Linked DNA regions of Nothobranchius furzeri. The protein of the gene in region 3 purifies or fractionates together with the protein of the main gene of each other region. This does not show direct contact. Links are inferred from orthologs where the notes say so. Each region holds a gene or a part of one and is shown on either strand. Other genes may lie near its edges.

What was found.
Region 1: the proteins of scap (region 3) and srebf1 purify together in Homo sapiens (affinity purification with western blotting; 4 studies listed by BioGRID and IntAct, with this or other methods). This does not show direct contact. The link is inferred for Nothobranchius furzeri from reciprocal best matches to the Homo sapiens genes SCAP and SREBF1.
Region 2: the proteins of scap (region 3) and srebf2 purify together in Homo sapiens (affinity purification with western blotting; 3 studies listed by BioGRID and IntAct, with this or other methods). This does not show direct contact. The link is inferred for Nothobranchius furzeri from reciprocal best matches to the Homo sapiens genes SCAP and SREBF2.

Annotation. Positions count from the first base shown.
Region 1 is NC_091752.1:55,498,249-55,506,488, forward strand, and holds the start of srebf1 (sterol regulatory element-binding protein 1), read right to left. Parts: upstream 5,382-8,240; 5' UTR 5,003-5,381; coding exon 4,897-5,002; intron 3,373-4,896; coding exon 2,809-3,372; intron 1-2,808.
Region 2 is NC_091752.1:67,062,224-67,070,758, forward strand, and holds the start of srebf2 (sterol regulatory element-binding protein 2), read right to left. Parts: upstream 5,382-8,535; 5' UTR 306-5,381; coding exon 215-305; intron 1-214. Other genes in the region: uncharacterized protein, read right to left, coding at 6,809-8,535.
Region 3 is NC_091745.1:65,123,651-65,132,091, reverse strand, and holds the start of scap (sterol regulatory element-binding protein cleavage-activating protein), read right to left. Parts: upstream 6,178-8,441; 5' UTR 5,950-6,177; coding exon 5,774-5,949; intron 2,224-5,773; coding exon 2,023-2,223; intron 1-2,022. UniProt on the Homo sapiens protein: Escort protein required for cholesterol as well as lipid homeostasis.

The sequences.
Region 1 (8,240 bases), on a different chromosome or scaffold from region 3:
CTTTTTCTGATGCTCCAAATACAGAAAAACATCCCTTACCAGGTATTTTAGAATAAATAAAAAAATCAGAAAATAAGTTTAAATGTTAAATAATAGTTAACATCACTTAAATGCAACAGCAAATTCTCTCATTGCTACTGAACATTTTCTCCACTTATGTGGTTCTGATATAAGGCTGTTGCTGTAATTGGGAAGTGAACTGTGCTGGGCCAAACTAGAAGAATATTAAGATTTTTTGAGGGAAAGAGAAAAACAATTGTCTACCTTTCAGAAGAGGAACTGGCAAAACATGTGAAAACATTTGGTTTTAACCCCAAATTGAACAAGTTTACCTAGATCTTAAAAAGCAGCTCAGATGATGAAACTGCAACTATGATTCTGATAACAAGCTAACAAATTGAACTAGCTCCTCTAAGATAACCGGCTAGCAGAGCTTCTGACTGACAGTTTATGTGCAGCAGCAAATCAACTATCCTGATTAACAAGGTTATAAAAACTCATAAATGAAAAATCACTTTGATGTGTGGGGGAACTTTTCCAGGCCCTCTTTAGCAGGGTGGGACTGGGAAGAGAGTGCTGTAGCCTTTTAGCAGGAAGCTAACCAGAGCCTGGGGCTAACACTAGCGACATGGGAGGTGGGTTGGTTCACCGGCACGTGTCGGAGTCAGCCCGGTAAAAATGATTAATGACACCGAGCAGAGTCACGTTCACGTTTGAAAGCAGAAACTAAATAAAGCTTTGATTGATTGATTGATTGATTGAGAAACATCAGCACAAAGTGCGTTCGTTGCTCTGAGCCAGCATGACGAACAAGGGAACAGCGCCGCTAATTCTGTTCAGGTGTTGCTTTCCAAAAGGGTCTATGTAGGGGGCAGGCGTATTACGTGAACGGACCCATCTGATTGGCCGCATATCAGAAGGACTACATTTGATTGGTCAAATAATACTTCCGCATAAAAAACAGAGCTGGTTTACAAAATGCTGATGTGTGACACGGATGGAAATGTTTGAACCAAACATTCATCGCTGTTTTTGCCGTGTTTTGCGATGGGCCTATCACACGTCCTGTTATTGCGATGACGATAATTTTTCGATATATTGTGCAGCCCTAATTCTGAGCTACTACAGCAATCAATTGAACTGAATTAAAGGGACATGAGTGTTGCCAACCTACACAAATCTTTTCAATTTTTTATTATCAAATTTATTGACATGGGAAAAATGATCACGATAAGAGTCAGAAATTTCGATAACGATGAATTTTCGACTTATTGCCCAACTCTCATTCAACAGGTAAACTAGTAGCAGCACATTCCATGTCAAAGAAAGTAAAATGTTATTACCAGGAGAGTGAGAATGTTTAAGTGGTTAGCAGCAGTGTTTGCAGAAAGCAAGATGTTTAAACTCACAGAGGCTGCAAGTTTCCTGTTCTATAAGTAAAGCACTGGGAATCAGCTTATCAGCGCTAAACGTTCTTTTGCCACTGCCATGAGCAGTTGGAGAAACACATTTCAAAGGCTAAACCGAGTCCAGCTACCAAACCAAGCAGAATACTGACGTAACACCGGTGCACAAAGGTGTGGGTTGGTTTCAACCAACAGGAGAGGGAGGCAGAAAGGGGTAAACAGCAAGATCATCACAGGGACCGGACTGATGTTTCTGAGCAAAACTGTGGGAAAAGTGTGGCTGTTAAAAGTCCTGACGCTGCGCACGTGAGGGTGTCTCTCTTTCTGTTTCGACGCTGCTCAACAATTTTTATTTATTATTAAGCCCCTTTTTTTACTCAGTAACACATATGATTGAAAATGTAGCAAAGTTCTTTAAAAAATATGCAAGTAAAAGGACAGACTGAAATACACAAAAAAGCTACTCAATTACAGTAACGCGAGTAAATTTCATTCATTACTTTGCACACCTGCTAGATGGTTTGCTGTAACAAAACGTAAAAGTAAAGCAGCAGAATGACATCAGCACTTTCATCCCTAAATTATAGGACTGACTGAAAGAGGCAAAAAAATCTACAGTAATCTTAATTAGTTAAAAAAAAAAGATTAAAAAATTTACAAATTTAGATTCATCCAGATACTAAAAACTCCCATTTTATGAACCATCAGACCTATATAGATGTCGCACAGGCCTTTTTGTCAGTAGGTTAGCAGGTAAACTGGTGACCTTTTACCTACTTTTGCATTCCTGATAACGATATTCATGAAGTCATCTTGCAGTTCTTATCAAATCCAGCGTGGATAACCATTGCACTTTAAATACTGAATCGTGGTGGGTGATTTGTCATGTACTAATAAACATTTACTGCTTGGGACAAACATGACCTCCCATTAGGCTGGCGCTGGACTGGGAGAACATCTTCGAGTCAGACTCTGTGCTGCTCTTTGAGCCATTCTGTAGACACGCGCTGCAGAGGCAACCTGCTGAATACGCTCAGATCGATTACACCAGATGTGTCATCAGCCCAGGTTGAAAAACCTAGCGGCCTGATTCAGGTGATATTTAAATCATCTCACCTGCAAAAAGGTTTAAGGGTCTTATTGAGAGTCTAAAGCCACACAGACCCTAGAAATGACCTTACAGTAACTATTTCTCTCCTTCTGAGACTCAGATCAGTGAACTCCTTTAAAAAGCAACTCTAAACCATTTCTTCAGACCAGCTTTTGCTTGAACTCCTGTGGATTAGCTCTGCACTGCACATTTATTTCTCTCTTGTTTTGATTGTAAAGCACAACATGATCTATTTCTTGCATTTTATTTTTAAGCTTGAAAAACTGCTCGTTATCGTAAAAGAATACATACCTGTGTAGGTAATTTGGCTCTTATTGCTGCTCTGTGCCTGAGGTGGTGTCTGCGTCTGAGGTGGTGTCTGCATCTGAGGTGGAGTCTGTGGTGCAACGAGGGTGAAAAGAGGCTGTGTCGTGGAGGTGAATGACGGACTTGGTCCTGGTGATCCAAGAGGAGAAGCTGCCTGAGCAGGGGTGGGAGGACTGATAGAGGGCTGGGGAGGCTCCACCTGAGGCTGCCTGAGGCCCTGAGTTTGTGGAGGGGGGGATGGCTGCGGCCTTGGGGAGGAGCTGGGTACCTGGGATACAGGAGACTGCTGAAAGGTGGGAGGCTGAAAGGTCTTGTCTGGGGTGGAGGAGCTACGGGTGATAGGAGGGCCCAAAAGAGCATCGAGGTGGGGGTTACTGCTTAGGATGGAAGATGTAGGTGCAGGTGTGGTGGTGGTAGCTGGAGGAGCCGCGGGGGTGATCAGCTGGGTCAAGGGAGCAATCTCTTGGGTGGGGGGGCCTCCAGTGAAGGGACCTGGATCAAAGAGTCCACTAAACTCCATGTCTTGGTTGTTGATGAGATTAAGCATGTCTGCAGAGAAAATGTTATCTAAATTAGAAAAATATTTCTCAGTGTATACAACCGATTCCCTACATTCAAATCTAGATTATGCATTATTTATTCTTACTGGGTTTAAATATACAAGATTTCAGTTCAGACAGATCAGAGATTACACTCAAAGGCTGGTCTAAAGGTAAAAGGAGAACAGAAAACCTCACTCAGGTCTGCAGCAAATGAAGCTGCAACTGGTCAAATGTCAAGCCCAAGTGGATAAACATCAAGTTAGAATCCAACATCCTGGTAAACATTTAACTTAGTTCAGATTTTATCCCTGGAAAAAAACAGACACGGAGTCTAAAGTGGACAAAATACCAAATAAATAAAACCAATAGTTTTATTTATTTACCGGTTTTTATTTTGTTACGAATTGTTTACATGTTTGTTCCTGCACTCTTATGAATGTTAAAGCCAAACAATAGAAAATTACATGAAAATTATAAACACTACACCTTAGTATGAAAATCAAAAGAAAATTCATCAAATTAACATTCAAGCATTTCTGCAGCAGCAGAAAATGTAAAAGATATGAAAATAATCATAAAAATCATATTATTTTTTAAATATTTCCCAAGAATATGCCTTCAGTGGGAATTGCTGGGAGAAAATAATTATCAGAAGCTTTGAAAATATGCGCGCGCGTGCGTGCGTGTTATGTATGTCTGCTGTGTAAGGCAGGAGGCTGCATTTGTAAACCGGTGTTGTGTATGAGGTGATCGCTCTCAGCCAATCAGAGCACAGCTCTCAAACTCAGACCAAGACAGCGAGAGGTTACTATCGAGCAACATCACCGAAAGGTTATTCTCGGTCAGGTGTACAAAACTGGCCAGCGGGATGTGTTTAGCTAAAATACCACTTTTCACATTACACGTTGTTGTTTAGGATATGACTAAACACACACCAAGATTCTTTACAAAGTATTATTAATAATAAATATCTGTTAAAGTCCACTCTCCTGACAGCAGCACTGCTTGCTCATCAACAATTTTAATAAGATAATGTTTTTAAAACAGAAATAAACCAAAACATGGACGTTTAAAGCACATAAAAGCAACTTATTATGAATTTGGGACAAATATAACGCAACTGAGAATTCGGTCAATTGAGGTAGCTGAACCGAGAGGAATGAACGACAGTAACCTCCGAGCGAGCATGCTGGGGGCGGGGCGGACACGTTAACCTCAAAGCTAATTCGCTCTGAATTATAGTAATAATAATAACTATTTTACAGTTCGGTTAGAACTACGGCGTTTGCACTGTATAATAACAAATAAAGCCAACAGGAGGTCTAGTGGCTGCTTCAGTTAGCTCCTAAACAAGCGGACTAGCTAAATGGCTAATGATAGCAAGTGTAAAAATGCTCCGAGTTGATGATTCTGTGTTCAACAAGGGCTTGCATGACGCAGAAAACGTAAATATATATGCCATGCAAGAGAAGTACCAGCAGCATTATTACTTTAGCCACGTATTTCAAGAGCTACAATTATTTCTTCTTACCATCAATATCGCTTAAAAGGGCCGTATCTATATCACTCGGATCATGAAGCGATAGTGTTGGATCCAGGTGATCCAACGAAGAATCGTCAAAAGACAAGCGATTCATCTTCACTCGTGTGTCTGCTTTTCCAGACTTCACTTGCAGGTTGATCGCACAGAAAAGGGAAAAAGTCCTCAACTTTCCTCGTCCCTACATTAGATAAAACCTTGAGGTCCAGGTCTTCCTGAAAGACATGTAAATACGCTTTAACTTTCAACCAATACGTTAACTAACATCTAAACTCCATATTGAGCTTTGGGAAACTTGTCAAACCGAGCCAAACACTGAAGCTCATTCAGCACTTCAGTACTAACGTGCTGCCGTAAGGCAGAAGCCGCAGAGAACTGTCCGGCCCCATCAATGATTGACACATAAGCCAGCCAATCAGTAGCTTGGAAGTGGATTCCCACGTCCTCTTTTCACATGATTGTTTTGGTTATTCAGGAAACCGCTGGAGGCAAAAGGAAATCCCTAATCCATCGATTATTGGGCTCTTTTCTTGAATTAATATTATTTTTAATCATTCGCATACTATCATATCAACCTTCACACACACGTATTTACCTAAATGAACATTATGAAGTGAAACTGCAAGGATATGTTTTTATGGGCTTGCCTTCCTAAACAGCCAACGAGAGTAAAGTAGGCGGGACCTGCCAACAGTATGTTTGTTTGTTTGACTCGAAGAATAAGCTCCTCCTGTAGAACCAGTAGAATCGTCCAACCAGAGGCTGAGAAACCGAGTGGGGTGATCTGACATCATAGCACTGCGTTCGGTGATTACATCATGTGTTTCTGTCGCAAAAGTGGACAAGTGGAAGCAGCACAGTTATACTGGAGAAACTTGTATTAGCAGAAAAATAAACAAAATATCAATAAATAATTAACACAATATTAATAAAGCCTCCATGCATTGTGTTGGGGTGGGTTGAAAAGCTCACATGACTACAAATGCCCGTTGTACTGAGAGACTGAAGCAGGGTTGCATCAGCGTGAGCATTAAGAAGCTTCAATAATAACAGAGTTATGAGGTAGAGGTCACACAATGCTAGTGTTTTATTGGGCCTTTACACACGTGCATGAGGTCAAACACAGATCTGACCATACATCAGTGATGGCAGGCAGCAGACAGACATGACATTTTCCAAGAACAGGAATCTGGCTTCAAGTTTTCCATGTCCAAACCTTGTCTGAACACCCTGCCATTCAGTACTTTCAGAAAACCAAAACCTTTGTTAAGTAATAGCAAAACAACACGGTCACAGACTCGTAGGAGAGACAGGAAATACAGCCAGATGTTAAATTATCTCAATTTAGTATCTGTAGTTGTGCTTTATGACTTATAAGAGCTTTAAAATCATAAAACGGGCATATTAACAACCATATTAAACATTATGTAACCGTATATAACGTTAGCGTTAAGGTAAAGCTCAATAATAACACATTTCCTGAACTAAAATACATATTTATTACGATTACATAAACACACATTCATTTGATGACATTTTGCATCTATATTTCCCTCTAATGGAAGGTCCATACTGACAACTGGTCCACATTTTCAATTCAGGTTTCATAAATGCTTATGGACATTTAGGTCGGATCCACTATTAAAATGAACAGAAATGTTTTTGGGTTCTACGTGTGATTTGGTGGACACTAAAGACAAATTGTGAGGTGGTGCTCACTCCTCACCCCTTCCACGTGGACCTCAAGGAATAAACCATCAACCCTGCTCAATGGTCAACTTTCCTGGTGGGGTCACCTCTGAGGACAGTGGGAGGGTTAAGTTAGAGGTATAATGCAGAAGAGAAGAAGAGGAGGAGGAAAATATAATTTCTATAGCGCCTCTCAAGATAAAAATCACGAGGCGCTTCACAAAAACAAAAAATGTAAAAATATAAAAAAAAGAATTTAGAAAATGTTTAAAAATATATTTTAATGAGCAAAAAAATAGACAATTGTGATTAAAAAAATGTTAAGAATGAGAGAGTGAATAGGAAAGAGGGAAATCAGTGGATCCTGAGGAAGGTGGAATAGGTGGGGAGAGCAGAATAAAGAGAGAGGGTGAAGAAGGTCATACAAAAGCCACTTTAAACAAGTGAGTTTTCAGCTGCTTTTTAAAGGAAAGTGGGAGTGGATCTACTAAACCACTCTATAACCGTGGATCACTATAATGTGTATGTTTAGTCCTTTAGAGGGATAGTTTGATCTTTTGAAGTGTGTGAACATTTAATATTGTATCTGTTGTCTTTGATCAGCCCCGGTTTGGAGAAATGGAGATTACTTCTGATTGAACTGATAGGCAAATGGCTAGTCAGAATAATTTGAGACCAAATTTGGAGTTGGAATCCAACTGTGGGCCACAAAACTTAATTCCTTGAAATTTTCTGTAAAAAAAAATCAATTCCTAATTTATTATTTTCACTATTATGCATGTGAAAAATAAAAACAAAAATTCAAATATGAATGGGATCTGTTTATGTTTTTACTATACCAATGCGTGCAAACTTGCAAACCTTTTCATTGTAATTTTGTGGATCATAAATCTAAAAGCTTTAGGAACCATTGGAATTGATTTTACATTACACTGTTATTTGGGGGTGAAAAATTAGCGACTGAGCTAGCTAGCTGTAGCACTGTAGTTAGCTAAGTTTTAGCATTTGTATCAAAGTTGTGAACGTCTTACGATTGGAGTCCTTAAGGATTGCTGTAATCCATTTTGCAACTAGCCGTTAGCTCGTCTGATCCGAACTCATCTTTGGTTTTCCAAATCCAGGTTGTTCAAAACTCGATTTACAACAGGTAAGACATAAATCGCTAATAATGTTTTAAAACAGCCCAACTTAAAAAAAATCTGACCCATTATCTTATGCGGTTTTAATTATATTTGAAATCATATTAATTGTTAAAGTCCTATTTTTTGCTGATAAATCGGATATTCTTGAAAATAATTGCAATTATAAGCTTGACAATCAACCCAAGTTCATCTCAAACAAGTAATGCTGTTACTCAGAAAGAACATTTCTGTACAAAGTGAATTCTTCCTTATGAAGGTTTCTCTTCCCTTTCAAAAATAGCAAACTTGTAAACAAAGGAAAAAAAATACAGATCTGGCATTCCTTCAAAATGCCCAGAAAAAACAAATACGACAGTTAACATAAAATACTACCTGGTCATTAAAGCCTTAGTATTTTTTGGAATGGCTAAAAGTGCTTGTAGTTGTTAGAGAGCGTCCTGCTCTCAGGTCATTTTTGTTGCTTTATGGAATATTCTACAGGCATGTCACTTCTTCTGTGGTTGA
Region 2 (8,535 bases), on a different chromosome or scaffold from region 3:
ACCACAAATGAACTCCAATCATCACACAAAGCAACATAGATGCATGCAGCAAAAGGACGAACACATTTAAGCAACACAAACTATTGGGCTAGCATGTTAGCGGCTAAATAAATAAACCTTTAATGTAGACTAGCTTAGACGGGCTCCTACATGGAAACAAGCCAAACTCTCAGGAAAACAACAACAAACCGCGCAGGCAGAGAGGTCAACTCACCATCGATGTCTCCCAAAGTGAATTCGTCCCCTAGCTCTGCTAAAGTCGGGTCCATGGTCTCCATCGGGCTGATGTACTCTCCGGTGTCCATCCTGTTTGTCAGCGACTCGCGTCTCCAACTGTCACAGGAGGGTCGCGAGGACTAAAACACACCACTAGCCTCCACTTCCGCCTTTCCCCGAAGCTAACAACGAACGTATCCGAATTAAAATCCCGACTTTTACCGGAATAACCTTAAAACGACACCAAAGCCTCAAGAGAGGCAGACATTTACGCCGATAAACTCATCTTCACTGATTAATTGCCATGGCGACGCCATCTTGTTTTACGCTAATTACGTCATTCACAATCGAAAGCTGTGGCCCAAGAAGCCGCCTGATTGGTTAAAACTCGGCCGTTCTTGTCATGAGACCAGTCGTCTTCGTCCAATGAGAATGTCGCATTCACTGTGGTCTGATAGTACGTCAAGCATCAGAAGCTGGTGTGTCATTTGAAAACCGCCCCTCCATCATTTTACAAATACCTCACGAGGCTGATCACAAGGATGAGTGTGAAAACAACACGTATTAGCTCCACGTTATTTAATAGAATGTTCATTTAAATTATCTAAGGCAAAGCCCAAGGATATAATAAACAAAAGCAATTTAACGAATGTTTAAACACGCATCAATATTTATCAACATAAAAACATCATCACGTTTCTTGTAAAAGTGGCACAGAAAAAAACTTCATACTTAAAGGTGTTGATTCTTTTAATTTATTGCAGCAAAAACAAAACTACAAATACGTATTATCATTTTTTTAAAATAAAACAAGCGTTTTATCATCGAAACATATAACACTCGATAAAAGCAAACATGGAATTAGATTTTAAAGCTTTACGGCAATTTTAAGAGCAAAAATAACACGCTTGTTCTTGTAAGATGTTAAATGAACACATTTTACAGGATTTGAAACAGTACACTCAAAGCTAGCCATTAGCATTTAAAACACTTTCAATTCTTCAGCCTTTTTGCCCATTTTCTAAATTTTTGCAGCAATAAAGCTCATCATGTTAGCACATCATTCAAGAAAAACAACTCATGTTATTGTGCTGGTTAAAAAGCAAGTCACCCCCAAATCAACATTTTTTTTCTGATAAACGATATAAATGCATGTTTAATCGTGCTGCAGACACGTGTAGTCAATAGTTTAGCACTTTAGTGCATTTTAGTTAAAATTTAAGTTTTCCTCTCCCTGGGCTGCCACCTTACCGTGGTGGAGGGGTTTGAGTGTCTCAATGATCCTAGGAGCCAAGTTGTCTGAGGCTTTCTGCCTGTGGTAGGGTCACCCATGGCAAACAGGTCCTAGGTGAGGGATCAGACAAAGAGCAGCCCAAAGACCTCTTATGATGAATTATATAAATGGAAACCGTGTTCCCTCGCCCGGACGTGGGTCATCGAGGCCCCCCTCTAGAGCCAGGCCTGGAGGTGGGGCACGTTGGCGAGCGCCTGGTGGCCGGGCTTTCACCCATGGAGCCTGGCTGGGCACAGCCCGAAGAGGAAACATAAGTCCCCCTTCCCATGGACTCACCACTCGTGGGAGGGGCCAAAGGGGTCGGGTGCAGTGTGTGACGGGTGGTAGTCGAGGGCGGGGACCTTGGCGGTCTGATCCTCGGCTACAGAAGCTGGCTCTTGGCACATGGAATGACACCTCTCTGGTGGGAAAGGAGCCTGAGGTTGAGAGGTTCTGACTAGATATGGTTGGACTCACTTCAACGCATGGCTCTGGAACCAGTTTCCTTGAGAGGGGTTGGACTTTGTACCACTATGGAGTTGCTCCCACTGAGAGGCGCCGAGCAAGGGTGGGCATACTGGTTGCCCCCCATCTTGGTGCCTGTATGTTGGGGTTTACCCCAGTGAATGAGAGGGTAGCCACCCTCCGCCTACGTGTGGGGGGACGGGTTCTGACTGTGGTCTGTGCTTACGCACCAAACTACAGTTCAGACTACTCACCCTTTTTGGAGACCTTGGAGGGGGTGCTGGAAAGCGCTCCTTCCGGTGACTCCCTCGTTCTGCTGGGGGACTTTAATGCTCACGTAGGCAACGACAGACCTGGAGAGGTGTGGTTGGGAGGAACGGCCCCCCCGATCTGAATTCGAGTGGTGTTTTGTTATTGGACTTCTGTGCCAGTCATGGAGTGTCAATAAGAACACCATGTTCAGACATAAAGGTGTCCATATGTGCTCTTGGCACCAGGATACCTTAGGCCGCAGCTCGATGATCGACTTTGTTGTTGTTTCATCTGACCTGCGGCCGCATGTCTTGGACACTCGGGTGAAGAGGGGGCGGAGTTGTCAACTGACCACTACCTGGTGGTGAGTTGGCTCAGATGGTGGGGGAGGATGCCGGTCAGACCAGGCAGGCCCAAACGTATCTCAAGAGTCTGCTGGGAACGTCTGGCAGAGTCTCCTGTCAGAAGGAGCTTCAATTCCCACCTCTTGACAGAACTTCCAAAATGTTCCGGGGAAGGCGGGGGACATTGAGTCTGAATGGACCCTGTTCCGTGCCTCCATTGTTGAGGCGGCCGACCGGAGCTGTGGTCGCAGGATCGTCGGTGTCTGTCGTTCTGGCAACCCCTGAACCCAGGGATGCTGTCAAGCAAGAAAGAGTCCTATCAGGTCTTTTTGGCCTGTGGGACTCCAGAGGCAGCTGACAGGTACCGGCAGTCCAAGCGGAACGTGGCTCGGGTGGTCGCCAAGGCAAAAACCTGGGCATGGGAGGAGTTCGGTGAGATCATGGAGCAAGACTTCCACATGGCTTCGAGGAGATTTTGGTCCACCATCCAGAGCCTCAGGGGGGGAAAGCAGTGCGCTACCAACACTATCTATAGTGGGGATGGTGTGCTGCTGACCTCTACTCAGGACGTTGTGGATCGGTGAGCAGAGTACTTCGAAGACCTCCTCAATCCCACCAACACGTCTTCCAGTGAGGAAGCAGAGTCTGGGGACTTTGGGTTGGCCTCTCAAGTCTCTGGTGCTGAGGTCACTGAGGTGGTTAAAAAGCTCCTCTGTGGCAAGGCTCCAGGGGTGGATGAGATCTGCCCGGAGTTCCTTAAGGCTCTGGATGTTGTGGGGCTGTGGTGGCTGACGCGGCTCTGCAATATCACGTACACATTGGGGTAGGCACACTGGAATGGCAGACTGGGGTGGTGGTCCCCTTATTTAAAAGGGGGGACCGCAGGGTGTGTTCCATCTACAGGGGGATCACACTCCTGAGCCTTCCTGGTAAGGTCTATTCAGGGTTTCTGGAGAGGAGGGTCCGTCGGATTGTTGAACCTCAGATTCAGGAGGAGCAATGTGGTTTTCGTCCTGGCCGTGGAACACTGGGCCAGCTCTATACCCTTAGGGAGATCCTGGAGGGTGCGTGGGAATTTGCCCAACCAGTCTACATGTGTTTTGTGGATTTGGAGAAGGCATTTGAACGTGTCCCTCGGGGGGCCCTTTGGGGGGTACACCAGCAGTATGGAGTACCGGGTCCTCTGATACGGGCTGTTAGGTCCCTGTATGACCGGTGTCAAGAGCTTGGTCCGCATTGCCGGCAGTAAGTCGGGCTCGTTCCCAGTGGGCAGCAGTAGCTCAACAGGTTGTCCAGTAATCGGAAGGTTGCAGGTTCGATCCCGGCTCCGCACAGAGAATTCTGCTGTTGTGTCCTTGGGCAAGACACTTAACCCACCTTGCCTGCTGGTGGTGGTCGGAGGGACTGGTGGCACTTGTGCTCGGCAGCCTCACCTCTGTCAGTGTGCCCCAGGGCAGCTGTGGCTACATTGTAGCTCATCACTATCAGTGTGTGAATGTATGAATGATACACTGTAGTGTAAAGCACTTTGGAGTCCTTACTCTGAGAGGCACTATAGAAGTGCGGGTCATTTATCATTTAGACTCCGCCAAGGCTTTCGTTTGTCACCGATTCTGTTCATAACCTTTATGGACAGGATTTCTAGGTGCAACCAAGGTATGGAGGGGATCCGTTCTGGTCGCCTGAGGATCAGATGATTTGCAGATGATGTGGTCCTGTTGGCTTCATCAGAACGTGATCTTCAGCTTTCGCTAGAGCGGCTCACAGCAGAGTGTGAAGCAGCTGGGATAAGAACCAGCTCCTCTAAAGCTGAGACCATGGTCTTGATTCGGAAAAGGGTAGAACGCCTTCTCCGGGTCAGGGATGAGGTCCTGCCCCAAGTGGAGGAGTTCATGAATGAGGGAAAACTGGAGCGTGAGATCGATAGGCAGATTGGTGCTGCATCTGGAGTGATGCGGGCGTTTTACCGGTCTGTCGTGGTGGAGAGAGAGCTGAGTCAAGGCAAAGCTTTCGATTTACCGGTCGATCTACGTTCCTACCCTCACCTATCGTCATGAGGTTTGGGTAGTGACCAAAAGAACGAGATCGCGGATACAAGCAGCCGAAATGAGTTTTCTCCACAGAATGGCTGGGCTCTCCCTTAGAGATAGGGTGAAAAGCTCGGCCATCCGGGAAGGGCTTGGAGCAGACCCGCTGCTCCTCCACATCGAGACGAGCCAGTTGAGGTGGCTCAGGCATCTGGTCAGGATGCCTCCTGGACGCCTCCCTGGTGAGGTTTTCTGGGCACGTCCAACCGGGAGGAGACCTAAAGGGAGACCCAGGACACGTTGGAGGGACTATGTCTCTTGCCTGGCCAGGGAACGCCTTGGGATTCCCCCGGAAGAGCTGGCCCAAGTGGATGGGGAGAGGGAAGTCTGGGCCTCTCGACTTAGGCTACCGCCCCTGCGACGTGACTCCGGATAAGCAGATGAAAATGGATGGATGGATGGAGTGGTAAAAATGTGTATTGGGGATAAATCTACTTACTTTTTTTTTCTTTTCAAGCACTTTTTTTTATTTTCTTGATTTTATTTGAATGATTTCTGGCCCTCTCTCTCTCTAACCTTCCTGCATGCTGCATCTTTTCTCCGTCTTCCAGAAAATCAGTTTCCTACTTTCTACCTAATCAGCCAAGGGATCTACCGAATGCAAAAAAAGCTTAAAGAGCAAGTCACCCCCAAAAAAACTTTTTTTTGCTGATAAACTAAATAAATGAGCGTCTAATCGTGCTGCAGACACGTGTAGTCAATAATTTGGCACTTCAGTGCACCTTAGTTAAAATTTAAATGTTCTGCCTAAAACTGGCAGTGTTGTGCCGTTGTCAGGTAAAAACTCTGCACTGTATTTTAATTTAAATCTGCCACAGCTATTGGCTAAGAGGTATGCTATGATGTAAACTGGTACATTATGATGTCACAATGCTGTCGTGAGCCTGTGTCTCAATTCAGGGTCTGCATCCTTCGTCGGCCGTTTACCTCACAGTGCCGCGACCAGGCCTGTCCCAATTCGAAGACTCCTTCAAATGCGGTTGACGAATTCGGCCCTCTTTAAAGAGCAAGTCACCCCCTATCAGAGTATTACCCCACTCCCACTTCCTGTTTGAAAAATGCAACAAATGCTGTTGCCTAGCAGACCGAGAGAGCAGAGTCGCTAACACACACACACACACAGGCTCACAACGACATTGTGACATCATATGGTACCAGCTAACGTTCTAGGGTACCTCTTAGCCAATAGCGATGGCAGATTTAAATTCAAATGCAGTGCAGAGTTTTTACCTGACAACGGCACAACACTGACAGTTTTAGGCAGAAAATTTAAATTTTAACTAAAATGCACTAAAGTGCAAAACTATTGACTACACGTGTCTGCAGCACGATTAGACACACATTTATGTAGTTTATCAGAAAAAAAAGTTGATTTGGGGGTGACTTGCTCTTTAATATGTGCTGCGCTCCAGCAGCAATGAGTTCAAATCACCGGGGCGCAGATTATGAACTCAGCTGAGGCAAAGCACGTCAGAAAAGTACAGAAAGCACCAGAGAATATGGGCTGATATGAACGATCGCAAATTAATTATTTTGTTTTGGTGGAGCCATTTTGTGAATGCAGGAGCCATTACCGCTGCGTCCTCTCTGCTCATAGGATGCCCGCAACTCTGAGTCCATAAATGACGTCATATATGTAGATACTGGATCTTTCCTGGCCTTCCCGCAATTTGAATTTTGAAGAAACCCACAACTTGCTTCTGGATTTAAAAATGCATTGTAATTACTGTGTTTCTGACAATTGTACCGAGTAAATATGACCATTTTCTTTCCCTGTAATGCCTTATTACCACATTACAGCAAAAAGCAATGCGTTACAGTAATTAATTACATTTGCACCGCGTTACTCCCAACACTGTTAACCACATCTTTATTATCATCATTTTACCCTTTTTTTGTTTGAATTGTGACTAAATGCTTCCCTCCAAACCCATGTGACAACCTTTAGCATGAGATTTAATTCAACAGTGAATTTAGAAGACATCTGTGGTTATCTCCTCCCTAAAAACAAAATACTTAAGATTAAATGCCACAGCAGCCATGAACAGCTTCAAACACTTTTAATGTGATGTTTGACCTGGTCGGGTTTACAGCGCATCAGATTATGTGGATGTCTTTATTTGAATATTTCAACAGAAAAGCTGTTAAAGGACACATATGGCCTTTAACTTTTATCTGTTCCAATAAATCTCACAGGACTTCTTTTCCGAGTAGCTGGCTTCCGTCGCACCTGTTCCAGATCTCACTTTCTCCTTCACCACCTTCACTACCAGACCACCCGCCAGAGCAATGCCTGCTGCAGCTTTCCCAATCTCAGCCACAGCGCTCAAGATACGAGTAGTTACTGCCACGGTGCCCCAGTGGTCTGAAACAGCCCCCCGGGTCAACGAGGACACCACAGGCCCTGATGGATCACAAACAGCCCCTGTTGATCCAGCCACCACTGGGGCATGCGTAGCCACCGCCTGAGCTAAAGCTGCAGCACACTGAGGAGGTCCAGCTCCTGCAGCAGCCGAGGCCACGGCGTGCTGCGGTGCTGCTAAAGCTAAAGTCCCCTGAGCTACAGGTTCTGCTGCGAGGAGAGCTGCTGAGCTAAAAGCAGCACCAGCTCCCAGGGCACAGCCCACACATGCTGCCACTCCCACAGCAGACCCACCTATGGCACCAACCTGGCCCAGGGCATCTAAAGCGCCCTCCTGAGGACTAGCAGCCTCAGCACCAGCAACAGCTCCCACAGAACCACCTAAAACTCCACCCGTTGCTGCACCAAGGGCCACGGCTGTTTTTCCAGAAGCTGCAGCCACTACGGCTCCTACCGCTTTCCCGACACCCATGCCTCCTGCTGCCGACATCCCGGCTAACTGCCCTGCTGCAAAGGATACGGAGTTTCCTACTAGGGACGCCCCTGCTGCAGCGGCTAAAGGGGCAGCTGCCCCAAACACGGCGCCGACCGCCATGCCCGTTGCTCCAGCCACCACCAGGATCTTAACTCTGTTCAGCACCTTGGCAGAGAGTGCAGCTTCCCTCCTCAAACGACTCAGGGACAGGCGGAGAGAGTGCCGCCTGCCAACACCCTGACGCCTCCCCCTGAACCGGTCACGCAGGAGGCCGAAGGCGCTCCTCCTACTCTCCTCACTCCACCTCTCGACTCTAAAATCTCCTCCACTGGACTCCAAGTCACACTTTCTTCGTTTTACAACTTTAACCTGGTCTTCCTCCCCCTCGGCTTGGCCTCGCTCCCTCAGCTCCTCTGTGATGGCGGCCTCTGCCTCTAAAAACATTGCATTAGTATAAAACCTCCCGGTATTCTGCTGCACCATTGCATCCACCTTCCTCAACAGCCATTTAACCTGCATGGAGTTATTCGGGTCTTTGTTGTTGAACACGTGGTATCTGCCTCCACACCTGTCGATCAGAGCTTTAAGACCGGCAGGGGCCGTTTCTCTTACATATTCCTCAATCCCAGTTCCCTCAAGGTCGTCCCCCCTGGTAAAAAGGACCACCGTGTGACGACGGACAGCTTCTTCTCCAAATATGCAGGTCAGCTGGCTGACAGCCTGGTTTTGATCTTCTGTGTATCGTCCTATTGGCACCACGAGGAGGAACGCGTGTGGACCAGGGGCAGACACACACACACATTTAGCTATCTCTGCACGAGTCTGCTCCACACTGAGGTGGGTGTCCCCAAAACCTGGCATGTCCACCACCGTTATTCTCCTCTTCCGCGTGACAGCCCGAACATCCTCCTGTGTGTCTTCTATCAGCTCAGCGCTCCCAAGCTCACAGACCTGGGTGACGGAGCTGGCGCTGATCCGCGACAGGAACCGTCTGTGGCCCAGGATGGTGTTTCCAGACGCACTCTTTCCAGATCCGGTCTGCCCCACAAGGACCAGTCGGA
Region 3 (8,441 bases):
TTTTATTTACTTTTACTGTTAATAGTCTGTTGTTTTTATTTCTTTTGCTCCTTTTTACATTTTCCATCTACCTGACTATTTTAACTTGTGTTTTCTTGCTTGTTTTTTGTGCAGCGCTTTGTATGGTTGTAATGCCGTGTTGAAAGCGCTATATAAATAAAGTGGTATGGTATGGTACATTTTTTAAACGTATTTTCGCTTTTTTTTAAAAAAAGAGAGATTTAATGTTATGCCCGACTGTGCCTGACAAAAGTATTTTAATTTAATTTATGCATTTATGTCTATACTTACTGAGCACTGTGCCTAATTGGTGTTAGACAGGGCATTTTTATTTATTTTAAGTACAAACTGGCCTATCAGCAGCAAAGTTCAATAAAATAAGCATTTTCCATTGAAGTACCCATCTTTCTTGCGTTTATTATCATTTTTCACATAATTAAAGCAATCTCATGCTAAATTTAAGAAAAATTTAATAATTATCCGATTAGTCAACTAATCGTTTCAATAGTCGGTGACTAATCGACTATTAAAATAGTCGTTAGTTGCAGCCCTAAATACTAATAGGAACTGACAAGCTGTAGGTCTGTACCATCCAGGGAAACAATACTAGGGTGGGCTGTTGATTGCGGTAAGCTACGATTCAAGATCACGAACTTTGTTTTACTTGTATTTAAATGAAGATGAATGTTGGAGAAAGAATGTTGAAGACAGTTAAAAGTTGTGCTGCAAGGAGGACAAAGCTGTGTTCAAGGAAGGACTGCATAAATATAAAATAGTGTCGTCCGCATATAAATGTATGAGAACTGTCAATAGTTATCAATATAGATTTTGAATAAGGTAGGGCCCAGTATCGACCCTTGAAGAACGCCCATAGATGGAGGTAGAGGAGCAGATTGGTAACCCTCAGTTCTCACTGCGTACGGCTTAAGGCAACTTCTAAACCATGCCATGGAGGCCTGAGACAGTCCTTTTATGTTTGAGCCTGCTAAGGTGTTATGGTCCACAGAGTCAAAGGCTTTAGCCAAGTCAACAAATACAGCCACACAATATTCCTTATTGTGAATGGCCCATACGATGAATCAGTGTTGTTAATTATCGGCTAAATATTCATTTGTACTCATGTACAAATATTTCTCCCCCGTTTAACGTGTGCTTGTCTATTGAATAGAAACCTCTACCCCCTTCCTCCCTCTCTCTCTCGCTCTCTCTCTCTCTCGCTCTCTCTCTCTCTCTCTCTCTCTCTCTCTCTCTCTCTCTCTCTCTCTCTCTCGCTCTCTCTCTCTCTCTCTCCCTCTCTCTCTCTCTCTCTCTCTCTCTCTCTCTCTCCATGCTTTCCCCAGCCTCCTCCGCTCTCCTAGGTCACTGTACCTCCACAAAAGCTTCTTTTGTTTTCACCAGCCCCCCTCCTGACAAGCAGATGAAGAGACAGGCATCCCATTCTCACAGGGCCACTTTCTCACAGCCCTGTGCCCCGGTCCTGCCTTTAACCAACCCGCAGACAGTCCCCCACGGGTGGTCAGTCGTCCATTCGGCCATCACCCCAGCTGTAATGAGCTTACAGGACAGCACACAGCAGGTGTACATGTGTGTTTCAGATCTGAGATTGTTGCTGATTGTTGCCCAGCCAAGTCTCTGACCTATGCCCCCCTCTGTAGACTAGTGACTTAGCAAATTCAACAAGAGCAGAGACTGTGTGTGCACATGTTAAGTGAGCGTTTGTGTGGCGGTGTCAGCAGGGAACTGTTTTGTGAGTGTGTGTGTGTGTGTTTGCGTGCAGATGGCCTTGAACTGAACCCGTTTTTTCATTAATTCTGTGAAGCTCAGTGTGCCTGAACTGGATGACCTGAGTCGACTTGATTTTACAGTTTATTTAGTAAGATGGAACAAATGAGGGTATGCTTTTGTTGGAACAGAACTAATTTGACCAGAATGACAAAATCCTACTGCAGGGAATGAAACATTATTTGACTCCTTAAAAATCCAACGTGGATGGAAGAAACAAATCCACCAGTAGAGACTAACCAGCAGGTGAGGATGCTGGCGGAGGTGAAGAGGATGATGGGTACTGGGTAGGAGGCACACAGCAGCCCGTGGCGGTAGAAGGCCGCCGAGATCTTCTTTCTCAGCTGCTCGCGCAGCGTCATCCTTGTGGGCGTGGTCAACTCCCGGCCATTGGGAAGAACTGGGCGGCCGAGGACGGAGCGCCGCAGAGCATCCAGGGACCTTGAGACAAAAATTATGGAAATCATTTTAATGACCTCACAGAATTATAGCCATAAACAAAAGCAGATGTTTTAACCCTTTAAGTGCCTGATCAACCGTCTGGTCAATAATGTTTGTGTCTCTGATTCTCTGTTGTTTTGTAGGAAACTAGGGAAAAAAATCTAAAAATATGAAGATATTCTATGAAAAACAATGATAATTCTATGCCGTTATTTTTATGTTAGTATTAACACTTTATTTTTATATTATTTATGCATTATTATTCTTAACATGTTAGATCCTTTGCACAAAACCCTAGACATGGGACAGCATTTCAACACCAGTCTGTCATGTACCTTCAGTGCAACTTACCATGACTGTGCTGGCTACAAAATGCCTTTCCCACTCATCTAACCCCTATTTCACACGGGAAGCATCAGCGGCCCATAACAGCTTACTCGCGAGTTTCAATGCGGTCCAGTACACACCGAGAGTCTTGGCTACAGAACAGCTTCCTCGCTGGACTTGTGAGATCCCAAAATCCCTCTAGACTTCAAAGGTCAATGGTTTGTTTGTTATCCGCTCTTAAACCAAAAAATAAAAAAAAGAAATCACATTTGATATCGCTGTTTGATATATTATGTTCCTCTCCACTGCCACGATTAATGCCATGAAAGACACACCGCTGCATTTCTCGAACGATGCAGGGAGTTAATAAGTTGTTGGGTCACATGGAAGCTATATATATATATATATATATATAATTGCATCGCTGCAGTACATTTATTTTGAAAATTAGCAGGGATTTTACACCAAAACTGTGTGATTTCCTATCTACCTATGTTAACTGCAGAATTTGAAGGTGTCCCAGAAGCGGCTCGTGGCAAAAATTGAACCCAATCCTATCTTTAGCAATGCGTGGGGCTTCTGGACGCGCCTGAAAGTTGCCGGTTTGAATCACCCCATAAACTAAAATGGACTCAATTTGAAGCAGCGAAGTTCCGTCGCCATTCATACTTCTGATGGTTCCAGCGTGAAATAGAGGGGTAACTCTGAGCAATGTGGCCACAAACTAAATTTCACTCAGGAGTGGAATATCCCTTCAAAAACTATCAAGACTGCGTATTGAACCCAGAAAGTTTTGAAAGATTTAATCTAAAAGCTCCACAGCTTTTAAATAAAATAAAACAATACATTTGAGTTGTGGACATCCTGTCAAATTATAAAGTTTTTTATGCGACACGAATCAGAGATAAGCTTCATGGAGCCTCTTGTCAAAGTAAATATAGTACTAAATCTCTAAAGCTAAGACTTATCTTTATTTACTAAAATGCAGCAGCACGCCTATTGACGGGTTCGAGAAAGAGGGAGCACATCACCCCAATTTTAGCTTCGCTGCACTGGCTGCCTGTGGTTTATAGGGTCCAGTACAAGGTTCTTTTATTGGCTTTTAGAGCTGTACATGGCCTTGCTCCGCAGTATCTGTGTGAGCTTTTAGTAACTTTCTCCCCGTCTCGGTCACTGAGGTCAGCCGACCAGTTTCTCCTGGAGGTGCCGAGAACAAAGAGAAAGCTCAGGGGTGATAGAGCTTTCTCAGTAGCAGCTCCAAGGTTGTGGAATGCACTCCCGATTCAGATTAGGATGGTTTCATCACTGTCGGGTTTTAAATCCCTCTTAAAGACTCATCTGTTCTCAGTTGCTTTTAATTCAGTTTGAGAATGCATCTGTTTTTAGTAGCTTTTATGTCAGTTTGATATGTTTGTTTTATCATGATTTTACCTTGTGATTAACTTTTTATCTTGTTTTTAGAATTTTTGAGGAAATTCTGTTCATTTTGTCTTGTTAAGCACTTTGGTCAGCTTTTATGCTGTTATAAAGTGCTATATAAATAAAGATGACTTGACTTACTCCATCCACCACACACACCATGAATAAAGACATGCTGCATTTTTCCTCCAGAGTGGTTTCTACTGCCATTGCATGCTACACACCACTTAAGACACACAGCTCTTTCAGAGATCCAAAAGGTGTGGGCACATTCCCGCTAAAGGAAATATCCAAATTTAACTGATCACGCCTGGGGGGAAAAAACCAGCTTTCATGCTGCTTCCTTTCAAAGAAGACAGGGGTTATTTACATGAAGGTGAAAAAGCACGGAGGCAGAGGTTTTGCATACATGCCGACTCGGGCATTTGATCACTTGGTAATTTCTGTTTCTCACAGAGAAACAATTTTAATACAATTCACAAACAAAAAAAAAAAAAGATTTTTAAGGTCTGCTTCCCCAAGAAACTGTTTAAAATTGTTCTTTCAGAAAGGCGATTGGTCACTCATGCATGCTGAATGTGAAAATGTTCTCCAATCCCCATCATCTGCATTTGTCACAGAAAAGAAAGAGACATGAAATGATCTGATAGGAAAAGGCAGATTGCTTCTATGTCACAGAGAAAATTAGTGTTTGTGACCCGGCCCACATTGGCTTACACAAGAAGGAAACAGCGGACAGCATCTCGCCTAGTATAAGCTAACCACTAGCAACTCAACATGGGAGAACACAATCAGGTGTGTGTTATTTGTGGAGATAAAACACCAATGTTGCTTTTTTTTTACCCAAGAAAGAAAAAGCGAACAAAGGCAGAAGAAAAGCTGTGGTGCCGTTAGCCAATCAGAGGCGAGATGTTCGCATATCATGAATAATAATGAACAAGACCCTCTCGTCCCACTCTTCTGCCAAACTTCCAACCCCAAAACAGGAACACCAAAACCTCTCTCCACAGAAAACGACTTGCAAGGCATGTTGGAAAATCACTCCTCCGACAAACTTCTACTTCCTGTAACAGGAGCGTCAGATCATTTCCATAGAAAACGACTCACTAAGATTTATTAATAGAAACCACGGCAGATTAATAGAAAAAAATGAATGGATGAGACCTTTAAAGGAATATTTTTGCGCAAAAGCTTTGAATCAAGCATCAATCTGTCTGTCTCTGTTGTTTCTCCATTAGCTATGCTAATGGGCAGCTTTGATCAACCCTGATTGAAGAGCTCCGTCTGGAGCTACGGCAGGCCTGCACTTTTTCAACTGTTGCCACGTTTTCAGCATTTCTGATCTTTGAGATTCTCTAAATCAACTACTCATAAATGATGCTTGTTTGGAAAGAGCATCATACCGCCTAAAAACATGTGACAACTGATAACTCGATGTCACTTGTGGAAATCACCCTTTCCACAAACATCCCTCCCTGCTTGAGAACAAACTGAACACTGATATCTATACATGAGCTCCGACGTTGTTTGAAATCTGTGCCTTGAGGGCAGTTCGCCTCACATCAAACACAAATGTCCGTTCCGCTTCCCCACGCCAACTCAATCTCAGCTCGTCTCACGTCCGCTGAGCTAACAGACGGAGTTGCTGCTGCAGCGTTTGCTGCTGTTGCATGGCATTAGTAGTGTTTTATTCATGATCCTACTTAATCATTTTCCTGTCTGTGATGTCACTAAGCTGTACAAGCCAACATGTCAAGCATGCCCCAACACAGCAGCCCCCGTGTCAGTCACAACACCACTGTACCTGCTGATGGGAGACCAGGTTGTCTCTCGGGATGCCACCTGTTTACGTCCTCTGAAGGCAGCAGTGCAGGGGTTTTTTAGCCTAACTTGTGCATTACAGTTGACATAGTGTTCCCTTCTTGGCTCAGGCAGAGTGCACGACTGCTTGGCTTGTCCTCCCGGGAGCGACGGAAACATTCCCTGGGAGGAACTCTCCTCAGGAGTCTCTTGATCTGCTGTTATAAATATGCTTTACAGTAAACAAAGCTACAACAAGCGTCCACAAAGACTTCACAAAGGTTGTTTGAAGTCAAGCCTTTTCAGTGCCGGCGCCTCTGACCCAGGTTCTTGCCTCGCTCACGGTTTAGCCGAGCATTCGTTTAAAAAACTCTGGATGAAAGTCTCCATCTCTGGTCTGTTTGTCCAGTTTGCTGTACTCTCCAGGGTTATGTGGGTGCAGCTGGAAGGCCTGATTTGGCAAAGGATCAGCAGCATCTCCGTCAGTAAACTAATCTGGGATTGAACTGATCGGAAACTCAACGAACAGGATAGAGGTCTTGAGGCCACCTCCCATTGATTCCCTCCTCCTCCCGTGGTCACACACTTCAGTCTTTCATGCATTAAAAGCATAGCAAGGTTGGAGGAGTCTTACAGCACTTCTCAATCGGAGCGGAAAATGAACAGCAGCCAAGAATTTAGTGTTTGTACGCAGCAGCCACAGTGCGGTGAATCTGAGCTCCTTTCAGCCATTCTGGCAGGTGATCAGTGACCATTCGGGAAAATCTATTCTTGTGGGATTTGTTGGCCCACTGTGGATGAGGGCGAAAAAAAGAGCAGTCCCATAGAAACCTAGCTTACTTAAAAATACATTTTCAAGATAGCAAGAATGATATAAGATAAATAAGAAAGCAAGAATGAGAAATTTGGAGCAAAAAAGAAATACAACCCCAAAAGCAAAAGGCTTACCTCTTTTCAGTTTTTGCTAAAATACCAAACTTGAAAGCCTCTCCAGGCTTCACAGATCCCAGAGACATTATCAGCGTAGCGGAGCCAAAAACCACTATCTCAAAACATTCCACAGATCTTTAGACTGCATCCATTCTTCTTAGTGTAACTGCTTCAAAACCCAGCGACACAGTTACATAACGATGAAGCACGTGCTGCTAATCTGTAGATATTAGTACAGTTGTAAAAGCAGCACCAACCTCACTTTGAATGAACTTGTAACTGTCATTTACAACCAGAGCCAATGACAGAACAGAGAAAACTTCTGTTAATCAGTAACCGTGTTGTAATAACTAAAGATGGCTGGCTCTTTCCACAAGACTTCCTCCTTTCTGACCAAATATTTCAATGAGACAGAAAAAGCCACAGTTTATGCCTATCACAGTGAGTGTGCAGATGCAAGGAAGTACATAGTCTTTTGCTATTCATAAATGTCACCCCCCTGTGCATTTACGATCTAAACCATAAAATAGATTTTCCCAAGATGCAAAGCACAAATAGGGATGGTGGGGCTGATGCAACCATGTTGCAACATCACCTCTCAAGTAACAAACAACGGTAAGCATGACAGACATGCCCAGATCAAAACCATCAAGAGCCACTTTTATTCACACATGCGAAATCGATCATAACAGAGCATCCCAACGGTTTCTACATTTTTCCTCTATTTTGTGGTAAAAATCCAACAGTTAAACTTTTAAAATGAGGGAAACGATCTATCTAGAGAATATAAATCAATTAAATGTTTAATTTATAGCACTTAGTTTCTGCAGTTTAGCAAATAGTTAGCAACAAAAGAGAATGTTATACAACACAGGTTTTTTTGACTCGAGCACATAAATGGGAGAAAATTCGTTGTCTGTATGGCAACACGAACAATGTACGTCATATATTATTCATGTCACTACTAATACGACAAAAAATAAAGTTTTTATCCCGTGTTTTACCTTCTTAGAAGTACAATTTAGCCTTTTAGTACGCCTAGCTAAAAGCTAACACTAAAAGCAAACAAGGCTAGCTTTGTTAGCTTCTTGGCGAACATGTGATCCATTTAATAGGCATTTAACTTAAATATATGTTAGTGAAATGGAAAGTAATAACATAGAAGAGCCTAGCTGCCAAAGCTGCAATAGAAAATATTTTTTAAAAGACTTCTGACAATAGATGAAAATTAAAAAAAATAACAATTGCGCCTTCGTTAGCCAAGTAAGAGTTAATGTGACAAAGTTAAAAATATCAGGGAAGTTTGGAATTTGTGTGAACCGTAACTAAAAAAGAACAGGAACCTAATAAAAGCAACGAAAATCAGAAGCTGTAGTTTAAAAATGGATTAATACATCACCAACCATCATGCTTCCCACTACGCTAAAGCAGCTAATGCTAGCAGGAGAATAGCCTTTCTGTAGACACTTACCAGGACGAACTTCAGGATTCCTCAAAATTTTAAAATCACTGTGATCTTCTCGGGTGAACTGATGGTCACCAGCTTTATTTGTGCTTATTAAATAAAAACTGTGCAGGTGAAATCCTCAGGTCAGACGGTGACAGGCAGAAACAAAACTACTACAGCTTGAGGTTGTCAAATCAGACTTCTTCGCTTCGACCTCTCACACCTCCAACGTAGAGAAGAGAGAATAAGTGACCCCTGCTGGACGCAAACTGTTACAACATGTTTAGTTTTCCAT